Ovis aries: one gene and its partner. The protein of the gene in region 2 purifies or fractionates together with the protein of the main gene of each other region. This does not show direct contact. Links are inferred from orthologs where the notes say so. Each region holds a gene or a part of one and is shown on either strand. Other genes may lie near its edges.

Region 1 (7,693 bases), on a different chromosome or scaffold from region 2:
GATGCTAGCTTTATAGCAACTTAAAACTTGTTTGGGTTTCTGTCTACCATATTACCACTGTTTGTGATTTGGAGCTTTCAACGTGACTTCAAATTCAGGTTTTACATTATTATTAAAATGTATTGAGGTTATTGCTTTAAACTAAAACTACTTTGTAATTTCACATGGGATAGGTATGTTTTCTGAAATGAGTGGTCTTCTAAGCATAGACTGTCAGCCCTTAGATTATACATGAAATGACACAAATTGGAAAGGTAAGGAAGAAAACAAATAGCAGGTGGTAAGGCAGTCAGAGAACATCAAGGAACAGAACCACAAGAAAGGTCTCAGGTTGTCATTGAAATACCACAACAGTCCTAATAGTCATATGACAGGCAGAGGCCTAAATGTTCTAATGACCTGTTGATTCAGTAGTGTTAATTGATAATAACCATTTTTTAATGGATCCCATATAACAAATGAAAACAATGTTATATGGGACTTGAGATGGAAATGTTGATTCATAAATGTCCTTTTCTTTCACTTGAAAGTGTTTTTACTGCTGGGCAGCCTTGTTAGAATGAAAAGAAATCAGAGCTATATATCTTTAATTTTAACTGGAAAGGGAGGAACAAGTGACCAAAAACAAGCAACCACTATGCTTTGTTTGAAGCTAGGCAGTCTCCTAATAGTAGTATTCCATCACTTTAGTAAATAGTTTGGCCTGAAAAGTATAATACCTTTAGAAATATTTTTTATGATTGTTACACCAAGTCATAACTTCTGGTTATCTGAAAAATGTATGCCTAAATAATACCTTATGTGATTTGACTCAGATACGTAAGTTCTCTTGGCATGGCTTTTCATTTATCTTATTGTAAGTGTTCAGCTATTCAAATCAGATCAGAATGTTAGACTATTTGGTGTCAGATATTTGGATTATAAACACAGACATAAAAGAGTTAAACTGACTACTTCCAGGTTAGTGATTCTCAGCTGGGAGTACTTGTTGCTTTCTCTCTCACCCAGTACATGTAGCATTGTCTGGAGACAGTTTAGGCTGTTAACAGCTGGGGGAAGCCTCATGCTGCTGGCATCTAGTGGGTAGGGTCAGAGATGTTATTAAACATCTTATGATACTCAGCATAGTTCCCCACAACAAAGTATTCAGCCCAAAATGTCAGCAATGTTGCTGTTGATAAACTTTGTTTAGATAACAACTGAATAAGTCTTGGCTTGTACAATGGCTAGAGTCTCACCTATTGTGATCCAAAGCTTTAGATACTCTTCCAGGCTTAAGTTCTGTATAAAACCTAAAGCTTGCCTAAAATATTTGGAAAGAACTGATAATTGAAAGCAGATATTTCAGTTATATAAATTGAAATATTTATATAAAAATATTTTATATAAATGTCTACATGTTTTAGTTTAAACACTAATATTTAGCTAAATCTAATTCATACATACCCAAGGTTACAGAGAAATCTAAATGACAGGCTCTTAGGATAACATTTCACCTTGTGTTTTATAATCATGTGCTGTTTCAAAATACAGAAAACTGGTCATCTATAAATTTTTTTTTAATTTTGATTTTTAATGAGTAGATTCTACCCCCTCCAACCCCCCCGTTATGGGGTCTTAGATCCCCAACTGGAGATCAGACCAGTGCCCCCTGCAGTGGAAGCTCAGAACCCTAACCACTGGACCGCCAGGGAAGTCCCTAATAAGTAGATTTTTCAAGGAGTTGTTTTATCCTTTCTTGTTTGATCTTTAGTTTTTTTCTACTGTATATAATTATATTGAAGATTTTGGAAATATGATGCTTTGTCATTAGCAAGTTTTAACCCAGATTTTTAAGTTTCATTTATAAATACTGTAGATACTTAAATTGAGACAGAATATATGCCCCTTTTAAAAAATTTTTTTTTCAGGATAACATTTTGTGCTGTTTTGCAGAAATAAAGGGGTATGTTTTTAGTTTTCTACTTGTCTGTCCCTTTTCTTCTGTTGTAATAAAGAGTACAGGCAGACTACTAGTGTGGAGTAAAGTAGCATTTTGCCTGAGCATATTCAGACAAAATTTTCTCCCCCATCAAGTTAAATGGCTGCCTTTCAGTCAGCCTTGAAAGTTACTGACTGTACTTTTTTCGTTTCTCTTTGTAACTGAACTGCATAAATGCAAATATATAATGTTAATCTTAGATTTTAACTATAGTTTAAAAGTTGTTATAATAATAATTGCAAGCAAAAGTTTTCCAGTGTTGTATATACCAAGACCTTTAGTTTGCAGTCAGTTTTCCTGTTACTACCATGAGAGAAAATAGTATTTCCTTTTTCGTTTAATGGCTTGTTTGTTTGTTTAGAAAGTAAGAACATCATTACTTGCATTGTTATATACTTTTATTTATGTATTTATTTTTGGCTGTGCTGGGTCTTTGTTGCTTTGCACAGGCTTTCTCTAGTTGCAGTGAATGGGAGCTACTCTAGTGTTGTGCAGGCTTCCCATTGCAGTAGCTTCTCTTGTTGCAAAGCTGGTCTCTGGAGCACAGGCTCAGTAGTTGGCAGCACACGGACTTAGTTGCTCTGAGGAATGTGGGATCTTCCCAGACCAGGGATCAAACTCAAGTCTCTGGCAGGAGGCTTCTTTACCACTGATCCATCAGGGAAGTCCTATTTGCATCTTACTAAAATCTCTTTATGCTACTGATTCATATCATTTAGTTTAATGTTGGATTTGCTAATTGACTTGTTTCTAGTTCTTACTTGAGGCTGATGTAGCCAAACATATACAGTGAGTGTGAAAAATTACTTTTTTTAAAGGGTGAAGTTGAACAAATTGCTATGATGAAACCAAAAGGCCAGACTGAACACGATGAGGGTATGCTTGAATATTTAGAAGATATAATTGGTTCTGGACGACTGAATGAACCTATTAAAGTCTTGTGTCGGAGAGTTGAAATATTAAATGAACACAGAGGAGAGAAGGTGAATCTTCCATAGACTTTTGTAAACCAGAATGTTTCATTGATTAACAGATTTTACTAAGCCAGATAATTCAAGTTATGATAGATCATAATTGTTTAAGCAAAGTTTTATGTTTTCCTTATTAATATTTCAGAGAAACATTGTTTTATGAATGTAGTTTGTTTTTATCTAATGTTGGCATATTTTAAATTCAGACTGTTCAATACACTTAACATGAACAATTTCTATCCTTTTAACTTTTGTAGTTAAACAGAGTTAAAATGGTAGAAAAGGAAAAAGATGCCTTAGAAGGAGAGAAAAACATAGCCATTGAATTTCTTACCTTGGAAAATGAAATATTTAGAAAAAAGAATCACGTTTGTCAATATTACATGTAAGTACCTTAATTTATCAACTTTTGTATTAATCTAATCTGTTCTCTCTTCCTGTATTAGAGAAATGTGAAGACTGAAGTAAAAAAAAAAATTCTGCAAGTGGTTGTGATGAATTTATTAAATTAGAGTTTTTGATATAGTAGTGAAGTTAATTTTTAACTATCCTACTTGAAGTTGGGTTCACAAATATCACTATGCTTAATACTTAATAGTTTTACTTATAAATTCTTTTTAATTCATTTAATAGCAGATCTAATTGTGTTTATATGGATCCTATTTTGGTCCTAATGCTAGCTTTGACCCTGGGTTGGTTTCTTCCTTCCCCCTCCAAAGACCTAGATATAGAAACAGCTGAATTTACTTAAAATAGTTTCAGACTTTTTAAAATGGTACTTTAGGATCTCTGATAGCTTTTTTTCTCTCTCTAGTTATGATCTGCAGAAACGAATTGCTGAAATGGAAACTCAAAAGGAAAAAATTAATGAAGATACCAAAGAAATTAATGAGAAGAGCAATATACTGTCAAATGAAATGAAAGCTAAGAATAAAGCTGTAAAAGATATAGAGAAGTAATAATCTTTTGGAAAGTACTAAAAGTAGATTATTTTATTACATGTATGTGTGTGTGTCTATATATAAACTTAATACAGCATATGAAGGCAATATATTTGCCAGCATATAAAATATTTTAAATGGTTTCTTTTTGCAACCAAAAAACTGAACTGCGTTTCCAGTTTATCACAGGTTTGAGTGCCCAACTCTGGTCTTTAATAGTGGAGAATGCTACCCCCTAGTGGCAGAACCCAATAATACAAAACATCATTGCAAAAATAGGTATTTAACCTGACAGGTTAGTTGTCTTAAAGTTGTATCATTACTTTTTTCATGGCAATCTTCAGTGATACCAGTATCCCTTACCTATTCAGTTTTCGTTTTTTTATTCTTTAAAATGAGTTTTGCCTGTTTTTTTTTAATGGTCAAATTTTTATATACCTAGACATCATAGTCACTATTTCCAATCTAGCTTTGAAGGACAAAATAACCCATAACCACACATTTTAACAACTTCTTCAAATATGGATGGAGAGGAGGGTTAGCTTGAAGCAGGTAGTATTAGGATCCTACCTTATAAGAACTTGGTACACTTACATAGTGGTTCAAGCAAGGTATATAAAGTCACTTTAAAATATCTGAATATCCAAAATAGTGACTGATAATTTTCTTACTTTGCTAGGAAGCTGAGTAAAATTACAAAATTTATTGAGGAGAACAAAGAAAAATTTACAAAACTAGATTTGGAAGATGTTCAAGTTAGGGAAAAATTGAAACATGCTACAAGTAAAGCCAAAAAACTAGAGAAACAACTTCAAAAAGATAAAGAAAAGGTAGGTTATGTGGGGGAAATGCTTAATATTTCATGTCTGTCGGATGTAGTTCTTATTTTTCATGAATGTTCTTGCCCCTTAGAAAATGAATTGGAATTCTGAATGTTAAGGGCTTCAGGATTTATCTCTGAACCTAATTCTCCCCCTCACTCACTATGGAAATCCTGCATTCATTGACTTTGAGTTTTAGAGCTTATGTATCTGATGTACATTGTTGGAGAATTGTTTACCAAATCAGTAATTCTATTTTGTTGACAAAATAATCTTTCTATAATATATGGTTTAAAAAGAGGTTTGGGGCTACATAGCATAGACTTTTAAAAGTAGTACCTTTGTCTATAGAAATCAAGTTAAGAATATCAGCAGGAGTTTCTCTTTAGAAAGGAGGGAAGAGGAAGCCATAATTTATAGCAAGGGGTTGATTAGCTAGTTTGAAGATTTAAAAGATGATGAACTTTAGACCAGAGTGCCTAATTTGCTGGGACCCAGACTAATAATTAATTTGGAGCATTTCAAATATATTCACAGTTTAATCAGGTATTATAGAGGCAACACTGAAAGCCCCTCCCCTCAAAAAAGTTTTGTACCATATATTTACATGGTACTTATAGGCTCTGCTTTACCTTATAAGCAAATGCATTTATTCACAAAATACTTTGTGTTACAGTAGTAGCACATCTTATATGAATCAGTGTTTGAGGGATAATGTTTTGGGAAGTGTTTAATTTCTCCCGTTATAGATAACCAGATTAAGCAAAATACCATGGATGTCATTGTAACCCCTAAATTGGACAGAGTAAGCCAAATGTAACTTAAGTAGTTATTAACCGTTGGACACCAGCTGTGAAAGAGTGATTATTACTGGAAGGTATTAATGGAATAAAATACGAGTCCCACATAGTGACTCTGAAAGGGTAAAGTTGGGAAAGATCTTAGGATTTGAGAGAGACTAGGGGGTGTAAAGTTGTAATGTACCATGTACCATGAAGGGTACTTAAGGAATTACATGTACTCAGACCATGTTCGTAGGTGAAGAAAGTTAATTACAGCATAAAGTTAGAGCAGAAGGAAGAAAGATATAAAGCCCAGCCAAGGAGAATTGTCTTTTGTAAGGAATCAAGAACTCATAGAATTATCTTTACCTGATTCTATGAATTAGACTGAGAATATAGAAATTATAGCATATGGTTAAGGAAGTATACTTGCTAAAGCTAGCAGGTTCAAACCTAATTACAATGAAAACTGCAAAGATCTAGAAGATCTTGAGAAATGCTTTTAAATAAGTCAAATATTAATGGTATTGGATAGCCTAAAGATACATGCTCCTAGTAACTTTTTAATTTGTTTTATAATCTTAGGTTGAAGAATTTAAAGGTATACCTGCCAAGAGTGAGAATATCATAAGGGAGACAACAACTAAAAACAATGCCCTTGAGAAAGAAAAAGAAAAAGAAGAAGAAAAATTAAAGGAAGTTATGGATAGCCTTAAGCAGGAAACACAAGGCCTTCAAAAAGAAAAAGAAGTAAGATTTCTTTTATCAGTTGGTGTTTATTTTGATGGCTTTTTTCCCCTCCTATCTTAAAGATTATTTTTATAGTAATAGTAAAAAAATGAACTATTAGAATGAAAAGTTTGGGCTTTTATCTAACATCCCCAAAAAACGGTCAACCTAGACTCTCCTTTTTTTGTTTTCTGCTTTCTCATTTTAAAAAGACGTTAACCGAGAATGAGAACTTAAAGTGGTAGAAGAAAATGCATATCACATACTTTGCTTTATGTGCTTTTCTCTATTAATGTTGGTTTAGTCATCACGTTTTCTCTTCTCTTAAATTATTTTCTTGGTAATTTAATTGCTTGGGACCACACTAACCATAGGTCGACATCTCCCTTCTTTACTTTTGTAGCTCTTGTGTAATAGTTTTAAAGCTATGGCTCTTGTGTTCATTCTTGGTTGCTTAAGTCAGTTACATATAAGATCTTTGTAAATTATACCTCAGTGAAGTGTTTCGGGGTTTCTCGACAGACTAACTATAAATTGATTCTGTTTTAAAATATGGACATGTTCTGATATCATCTATAAGAGTTTATAAGTAGGATGCCTATGTGATAAAGTGGCTAAGTATCATACAGTCACTTTCCTAATAGAATACTTTAAGATCAGTTTTTCACATTTGCTCATCTCATGTATATCAAGTAATCCCATGTGCCTTGGCATCCTAGGTTAGTGACAAAGCCAGGACTCATATCTAGGTATCTTTGGAGCTAAAAACAGGCTCTGCTACTTATGAGTGAGTGCATGACTTTGAACAAGTTATTTAAATCTGACCTCAGTTTCCTCAAAATGGGCATAATGATGATTGTAGGAATGTTGGGTTAAGGAATTGATACTTACAAAACATTCAGGATAGTACTTTGAACATATATTCTACAGTAGTGTGGGTGTGTGTGTTGATGGTCATGATTTTTTGTCATTTTAGTCTCTAAATTGAGATAGAAGGAAATGGCAGCCCACTCCAGTATTTTTGCCTGGAGAATCCCAGGGACGGAGGAGCCTGGCGGGCTGCCGTCTATGGGGTCACACGGAATGGGACACAACTGAAGCGACTTAGCAGTAGCAGCTGTTAACCTCATTAAGCTGTTATTAAATCAGTTGGGGAAAGACTTTATATACCATAAACATTCACAACTGGGGAAAAACTGTTAGTCCATTCACTTATGAGAGTTATTTCTATATATTGTGCTTACATAATCTATGAAGTTAAATTTAAAATGTATGGTTTCCACTTCGGTTTAGGTTTGAAAACACGTATTTCAGATTAAGTGGGGGCCTGTCATATTTTAACAGAGTCGAGAGAAAGAACTTATGGACTTCAGCAAATCAGTAAATGAAGCACGTTCAAAGATGGATGTAGCTCAATCAGAACTTGATATCTATCTCAGTCGACATAATACTGCAGTGTCTCAATTAA
Region 2 (8,214 bases):
GACTGACCCTGATTTTCTCTCTGGTGGACTCGCAGTCCCACAGCTGCAGCTGACTCCTCAGCCGCACCGTCTCCTGCCCTGGGCTCGGGGCGGGTCCCGCCTGGACGAGGTGGGGCACCATCCCAGACACACTCCTCCCTGGGCTCCCTCACTGTGACTAGCTGTGCTCAGCCCTGCAGGTGAGGACAGCCCACCGACCGTCCACACGACACAGCGGGAAGAGCAGCAGCCCTCCAACCAGCACTGTTCTCAGGCTGGACAGGAGTGAGAAGGCAGGGACACCACGAAGGCACGGGGCACGCCCCTCCAGCCTTACCCCTCTGGGACTGTGTGCTGGGTTACAGACTTAGCACGGTAACATCCGAAGCCACATTTACAGGAAAACAGGGGAGCTTTCTGAACACCTGTGACAGACCATGGGCTTCACAGATTCACTGTCACCTAACCTCCCAGCAAGGACAAAGCATTGATGTAACAGTTCAAAACCAAGCAGACAAATTACAAACAGAAGGCCTGCCCCATCACACCAAACGTGCATACCTGGTACTTCCAACAGCAGAAAATACAGCCCGGCGGCGTGAAGGCCAAATTCCTGCTGCTGAGCACTGACATTTTTCTTAAGGGCCTTATAAACGAAGTGGTGAAACAAGGCCATCAGCGCATTGTGGGAAATTCTGTTCTCCACGAAGAAGGTCCAAATGCTCTAGGGGAGGGCAAACGGTAAGCACCAGTCGTTAGAGCGCTGTGAGAGTCTCCTCTTGCTGTTTCTGATTCTTCTGAGTGCTTAGTGCCCTATAAAAAAACGAACAGACCATTCTGCCTCCTAATTATAAACGTCTGCCATTTTCAAAGGGACTAAAACAGAACATTTAAAAGTGTATTATTCAAAATTTACAAAGTTGAGGAGTTTCCTGGTGGTCCAGTGGTTAGGACTCCATGCCTTCACTGGGGAGAGTCTGGGTTCCATTACTGGTTTGGAACTAAGATCCCACAAGCTGAGTGGCTCAGCCAATAAAAGAAAAAGTAAACGAAAATCACAAAGATAAGAAACTATACAAGAATCTTAATTAAACTTGCAAAATAACTTTGGGTAAGTTTGAAGCGTATGTATTTCTGAAATTACTACACCTGAAAGCTACACTAAGACTCTGGGGACACCTCTGTCAGTGATTACTCAGACAAGTCACCCCTCCATCTATGTTAAATGTATCTCAATCCATTTATTACTCTAATTACTAACTAAAAAAATCAGAGCAACTTTTTTTAAGTCAAAATGTTTTGTGGGCAATGGGAGCAGGAGAGGAAAACCTGTGAGTGTCTCGCTCAACAGACTGCAGAAACAGCCTCGGTAGGAGAGGAAGTAAGCCTTAGACCACAAACCATATTTTCATTACTTTGATCACTATTCACGCTTTCCCCTCTTATAGACATGAGGAGGAAATAGCTTATTTGAGTAAAGCAAACAGTAGGAGCGAAATATGGCTCACTATGGGCCACCTTAAAAAACAGAAGCCCACAGAAGCTCAAGAAATCAGACCTCGACAACCTCTTTCCTTCACCACGAAGCTTGTGGAAGAAAGCAGTTACATCTTCATTTCTAAGGCCACCTCAGCTCCCCTCCCGCTGCCTGGAACTGTGACCCTGGGGGACCCAATCACCTTGGAAGCATTTCATACCTGACAAAGACCCAGTTCACAAAACTCTATTAACTCTATTTGAAAAGAGTCCCCAGTTTTTAGCCCTCCACCCCAATTTCCACAACTGTAACCCAGACCACACCACAACACACATTTTTCAAAAAATCAATGAGCAAAACACAACTGACTATTGCACGACACGGAGCGAGTGGGAAATCCTCACGTAATTCACAGCCGGCCCTCCACAGACACAGGTCCTTCACATCTGCGGCTCTGCATCCAGGGACTGAAACTCCTGGGACCATGCAGTCCTGTAGGTACTACTGAAAACTCTGCACAGAAGTGGGCCTGTGCAGCCAAAACCATGGGATTCAGGGGTCAGTCATAATGTCCCTAGGGAGCTCCCTGGGGACAGCATTCCCCCCTTAAGTCTGTGTTTGGTTAAGAACACCCACTGAAACAGCACTCTTCATGTTCCTGGGTCTACTGCACACTAGAACCCCTTCCTCCAAGAGGCAGATGGGAGGACAAGCGGTTTAGTCTAGGGATGACGCTTAGACCTGAACCTTGTGGACAGCAAACACCTCACTCCAGAAGCCTACCACAGACCCCACTCACAGCTGTCCTGTGGCCTCCACCCTGCCCCACCCCCTCGGACTTGCTGTACATCCCCACTGTGAGGATCCCTCCCAAGGCTGCCCTGGAATCCTCATTACTGGTCAGCACTCCAGCCATTTGTGAAGATGTGCCTCCAGCCAGCTACCTTTCTGGGACCTTCCCAGCCTCAACCTCAGCAAGCTGCCTTTTCCAGGCAAGCCAAGATGGCATTTAACGTGTCCTACAGAAGTTTCTAACACATAGAGCTGGTGGCCCGTGCTTCTTCAGGCCCGTGGATGTGGTCACTGCACAGGCTCTGGCCAGAGCAATGACAGTGCACGCTCCCAGAGCTTAATTCTCCCCTCTCCTGCAACCCCCTGTAGGGAGAGGCTCTGTACCCTCACCATGTTACGCTCCTGGGTACTGCACGTGGTACTCAGCATTACGCTTAACGAGTATTTAACAGGTCGATTTAATTTCTGAACAGCTACCTGAAACTAATAACAGAAATATTTTTTAAGTTTAAATCTTTCGGAGATATTAATACATAAGTATTCTTTGTTCTGCTTTCTAGTCCTTCAGTTTTTTGAAAAGAAGTTTATGACCTAAAGCGTAACAGACACTACGTAGAACTCCATTTAAAACAACTCTTTTTTTTCCTTTCTTAGTTCAACTAATCACTTCTCAGATCAACATTCAATTTCCTTAAAGCAAAGGCATCCTGAGTTGTTAACTGCACTGTCCTTGGCCATTTTTTCTTATTTCGCTTATTGGTTTTCATCCTTACCTTGGCCTTTACTCTTTTCCTTTAATTTGCTCGTTAACAATGCTCATGACACGGAAAGAATCACAGACTAATAACTTGGGAGGACGGTTATGAGGCCATCCCAGTAAGTTATCCCAGACGGTTATGAGGCCATCCCAGTAAGTTATCCCAGACAGTTATGAGGCCATCCCAGTAAGTGATCCCAGACGGTTATGAGGCGATCCCAGACAGTCATGAGGCCATCCCAGTAAGTGATCCCAGACGGTTATGAGGCCATCCCAGTAAGTTATCCCAGATGGTTATGAGGCCATCCCAGTAAGCGACCCCAGACAGTTATGAGGCCATCCCAGTAAGTGATCCCAGACGGTTATGAGGCCATCCCAGTAAGTGAACCGCATTCTTTACACCGCTCTTCCTTCCTTCTGCACTGCATACCAAAGAGACCAAGCTCTAGATGATACCGGGGTTTACCTGACACTTCTAACAACGAAATGGCTAGCTTGTTTTTTTTTTTTTCCTCTCTTTTACCTCAGCAGCGTCACGTTTTTCAGTAGCAAAAGGTAGCATTGCGCTGTAAAGCTCTGTGAATGCGCTCAGTCCAGTCTGCACGATCTCTGCTTCTATGCCGGCATCCAGAGGCTCGGTCTCCGTGAATTCCAGTTCCCATACTCCATCCACCCATTCTAGTAGGAAAATGCAACTACAGTCAACTAATGTTCTGTAGCAGTTAGCTTTAGACTCTAAATACATTCAAGAATAGAACAGTTTTCTGGGCACAAGTCATACCACACAGGTGAGGCAGAATGAAGAGAGAAGCAGAAAGGGTTAGAAAAATCTGTATACTCATTAAACTGACAGCTGGCTATTATGCTGGCCATCCTCTAAAAACATGAAGTAGGAAAACACTTTACAGATGTTAACCGTTTTGGGGAAGACCCAGCCTTCCCATATGTTCAAGCTAGAGAACAGGTAATAAAAAGCTGTCTCAGCTGCCCCTTTGTGAAAGTCTTATAACGAAGCTGAAGTCGCGCAGTCGCGTCCCACTGTCTGTGACCCCACGGACTGTAGCCCGCCAGGCTCCTCTGTCTGCGGGATTCTGCAGACAAGAACACTGGAGTGGGTTGCCCTACCCTTCTCCAGAGGATCTTGGCGACTCAGGGCTCGAACCCGTGTCTCGTACGCTGCAGGCAGATTCTTTACCGTCTGAGTCACTAGCTAATAAATCCAAATAAAGTGTACAGTGGAAAAGGACAGGTGAGGGAAACAAAATGAAATGACTCAAAAAAAAATGACTGCCGGCTACGGAGATGCCGCGGAATGGAACGCAGCCTCGAGACAGCGGCCAGCAGCGACTGCGGCGGGTGGGGACACCCACTGCCCTTCAGTGACGACGGGCGCCCGGAGGCTCCAGCCGCACCCCTGGGCCCCACGTTCAGAAGGTCAGCTCGGGCCAACAAACAGCCGCGCGGCCGAAGCCTCGGCACTTGCGAGGCTGTCCGCGCAGACGCGGGGGCAAGGCCGAGAAACAGGAGTACTGAGCAGAAGGAGGACGCGGCCCTTGCCCAGCATCCCCCAGAGCACCCGGGCCCCGGGCGCGTCCTCACCTTGGCTGAGGTCCAGGGGGCACCAGGTCTGCAGGGCGCACGCCAGGTTCCCGCCAGCCTCCATGACGGCCGCTCACTTCACTTTCAAAGTTGCTCGGGCGCGCGCGCCCAGAAGGCCCCGCTGACGTCAAAGGTCAGCACCGACCAATCACCGCGCCCCGCTGGCAGGACGGCAGCCAATCAGCAGGGCCTTCCGCCGGATGCGCAAAGGGAGAGAGCACCGCCCACGCAACTGAAGTTGGGGGTTTTCAGCTGTCGCTTCAAAGTGAGGCTAAAGAAACGAGCCAAGCATACTGCCTTCCGGCTTCTTTTCCCTACGTGGCGGACGCACTGAAGAGAAGCTGAAGCAGGGCACTTCCTGTTGTAACTGTCACTTCTGCCCCCTGTCAGGCGGCCTGTCGAAGGGCCGCGTTTACCCGTCACTCAGCAAGCGGAGGCGTACACAGCCGAGTGGGGGAGCTGCCTACCGGTCAACGGATTAAACACAGGAAAGGCAGAAAAGGCAGCCAGAAAGGGCTCTTTTTTTTAGAAAGGACACCGTTAGGTCTGAATTTTACTGGACTGGTGTTTGACAGGTCGGGCAGGAGCCAGGAAGGAGCCGCCGCCGCCCCGCCGGCTGCCGGGCGTGGGGCGGTGCTCGCGGCGCGCAGGCGCAGTGCGAGCTCCCCGGGGGCGCGGCGGCCGCGCTGGGGGCGGGCCGTGCGCATGCGCGCAGCCACTCCGGCGCGTCCGGCTGAGCCGCGGACGCGCTGCAAGCTGCTCCGGGGCCGGGCTGCTGCCTCCGAGGTGGGCTCCGCAGGCCGCGGCCGGCGGGTGCCTGGCGCGCCCGCTCTGCCCCGCCCTCGGAACCGCGCCGGCCCGGCGAGCGCGGGCGTCGGCGTCGTGCCCAGCCCGCCGGCCTCCCCAGGCCCGGCCGGCCCGGCAGGGCCATGAGCTTCTTTGGCTTCGGGCAGAGCGTGGATGTGGACATCCTGCTGAACGACGCGGATAGCAGGCGGCGGGCCGAGCACAAGACCGAGGATGGGAAGAAGGACAAGTACTTCCTCTTCTACGATGGCGAGACGGTGGCCGGGAAGGTGAGCCTGGCTCTCAAGAACCCCAACAAGCGGCTGGAGCACCAGGGCATCAAGGTCGAGTTCATCGGGCAGATCGGTGAGTGCGGGATCCGCCGCGCCCGGGCCCACCCCTGCGCCCGCCCTCGACCCGTGACCCCGAGCCAGCCTCTGACCTCCCTCTCCAGACCCCTGGCGCGACCCGAAACCCTGCCCCCCAGCCCCCGCACCCCCTGCTGCGATTTGAGACCGCTGCGCCCCCTCCAGCCCCTGGCGCGACCCGAACCCCTGTCTTCTAACCCCTGCACGCACGGCTGCAATTCCAGACCCCCTGTCCCCCACTCCGCCCCAGGCCCTGTGGTCTGTTGCCCGCCGCCCTGGGTCCGAGCTCCGCGGGCCTGCCTCGGCTTCCGTGCCAGCTGGGCCAGCCTGCAGGTCGTGACCACCACTCCGAGCGCCGCGTGGCCCGCCCCCCTCTCTCTAGTGTCTGTGCCCACCAGCCTCTTACTGCACCTTCGCTGGGAGCTGCTTGAGAAAGCATCCCCGCGGGCTCCGGCATCAGCCCTGCGTCCACACAAGCTGCATCCCTAAGACTTCCTGATTAGAAGAGTCTGCGGCACTCTTCTTAAAGAAAGGGTGCTCCCAAGCCCCAGATCTAAGTGGCCAAAATTTCCCAAGGCTCTAACAGTTTTCAAACATGATTGTTAGCCGTTACAGCTAGACAATAAAAAACAGGTTTGGGAGCTGCCAGTCAACACAGGGTTGTCTCCACTTCTGTTTGGACTCTCCTGTTTATTAAAACTCACAGGTACTTCTGAAATAGTTTGTGTCAGTAGTTCAGGAGTAGGGTCACAGTAAATACCACAGTTGGCTGAAAAGACATCGAGCAGAGAAATCATGCCCCATGCCCCCGCCCGCTCTGGTCCTGTGTAGGGGGTTTCCTGGGAACGCTCCTCAGAGGCTCTCTGTCACTCCCTGAGATCCCAGCACAGAATCTGTTCTCCATTTTGATGAGACAGAAAACACGGGAGCCCTGGGGAAAGGCTGTGTGCTCAGCACTTCAGTGCCCGGCCTGAAGTATTGGCTTCTGCTGTTTAAGTTAACGGAAATCAGGTCGAAGGCTAGCTGATCCTAGGAGCCCATCCGTTGCTATTCTAAACCCAGAATGAGTGGCCTGGAGCTGGAGAGTGGGCTTTAGGCTCTCTGCCCGCTCGCTTCCGACTTCGGCAGTGCCCCTCAACAGCGGTGCTGTTGGCACGGTGGGCCTGCTCGTTCTCCATTGTCGGGGGTTGCATTTCACAGCCTCTACCAGCCAGATGCCAGAACCGCAGAAATGTCTTACATCTGTGGAAGCTAAAATCACTCCTAGCAAAGAGCTCCTGGGGACACAGGATGAACCCCCAGCATTCTGTGCTGGGCGTGAGTCAGGCGATGAAGTTCAGGCCTCCCTAGATTGAGTGTTTCCATAGCATAACGTTAAGGTTGTCACTGGATTCCGCGGCTCTGCATCAGGAGTGCACATGGGCACGTCTAGCCAGCAGCTGTGCCATCCTTCCCGGGGGTGACCGCTCCCCGTCCATGAAAGGTAGCCAGAGCGCCCCTGCCCCAGCGGTTGTGGAATGGGCTGTTTGAGGCGCTGGCAAGGCCTCCCTCCAGCCCAACTGGAAGGGGGCTGGCTGCCCTGCCTGGCTTCCTGTCCACGCGCGTCCCGGGGCAGCATCCCTCCCCAGACTTCTCAGAGCCTCTTCTGCTTCCGTCGACAGCTCTTCCTGGGCCCCTGAGTCCACCCTGTGGCCTTGGGGAAGCGGTCCCCTCCCTGGGCCTCAGTGCTCTCACCTGTAAGGCAGGGACAGCAACCGAATCCCCTTGGGAGATGGTGGGGGGTCTAGGGCCCAGGCTTTGTGCAGCGTGTGGTGCCTGTGGTGGCCCAGCCTCGGGGCACTGGAGCGAGGCTGGTGAGTGCGGTCCCCACGTTGCGGGCGCGTGGTTTCTGCTTCCTCGCTTTCCTGGCGGCAGGCGGCAGGCGGGGCTTCGCTCCGGCTCTGAGGTCTGCTGTCCCGGTGACGCGCCAGGCGGCGGTCCTGCCCTAGCCGCCTGTGAGGGTGTTGATGTTGTGCTCCAGCCACCTGCCTTGTTTGTTTCACTCAGAATTTTTCTTCTTATAAGCCACTGTCTGTCCGGTTTGGAAGTGTGTACGTCCTGCCTGTGCGTTCGATGGACAGCCTGGCGTGTGGCCAAGGCCGAAGCAGGGGTTACTCCGGTTACGTGAGGCTCTGTGACGGGCAGATGTCGCTAGGGCCTTGTGAGGGCTGGAGACCGTCGATGTGTGTGAAGTGCAGGCTCCGGCACTTATCAGCTAAGCGCTCGTAAGCCCTGTTAGGCTGCATCCAGGGGCTGGACCTTCGAAGAGTCAGCTCTGGTTGCCTTGCTGACTGCCCGCAGGATCTCCGTGTCAGGCCAGCCTCGCCTGCTGCATGCCCTGCGTCTCCTCCCAGCAGGAGGGGTCGCCCGAGTTCTCGCAGGGACGGCTTTCTGGTGGCTGTTGCGTGGGTCCTGTT

Evidence for each region.
Region 1: the proteins of NCAPD3 (region 2) and SMC4 purify together in Homo sapiens (co-immunoprecipitation; 3 studies listed by BioGRID and IntAct, with this or other methods). This does not show direct contact. The link is inferred for Ovis aries from reciprocal best matches to the Homo sapiens genes NCAPD3 and SMC4.

What each region holds. Positions count from the first base shown.
Region 1 is NC_056054.1:227,740,428-227,748,120, reverse strand, and holds part of SMC4 (structural maintenance of chromosomes protein 4), read left to right. Parts: intron 1-2,799; coding exon 2,800-2,964; intron 2,965-3,209; coding exon 3,210-3,337; intron 3,338-3,766; coding exon 3,767-3,907; intron 3,908-4,572; coding exon 4,573-4,723; intron 4,724-6,081; coding exon 6,082-6,246; intron 6,247-7,569; coding exon 7,570-7,693. UniProt on the Homo sapiens protein: Central component of the condensin complex, a complex required for conversion of interphase chromatin into mitotic-like condense chromosomes.
Region 2 is NC_056068.1:82,068,663-82,076,876, forward strand, and holds the start of NCAPD3 (condensin-2 complex subunit D3), read right to left. Parts: upstream 4,685-8,214; 5' UTR 4,669-4,684; coding exon 4,605-4,668; intron 3,684-4,604; coding exon 3,529-3,683; intron 793-3,528; exon of another isoform or gene 704-792; coding exon 541-703; intron 1-540. Other genes in the region: VPS26B (vacuolar protein sorting-associated protein 26B), read left to right, coding at 5,534-5,756.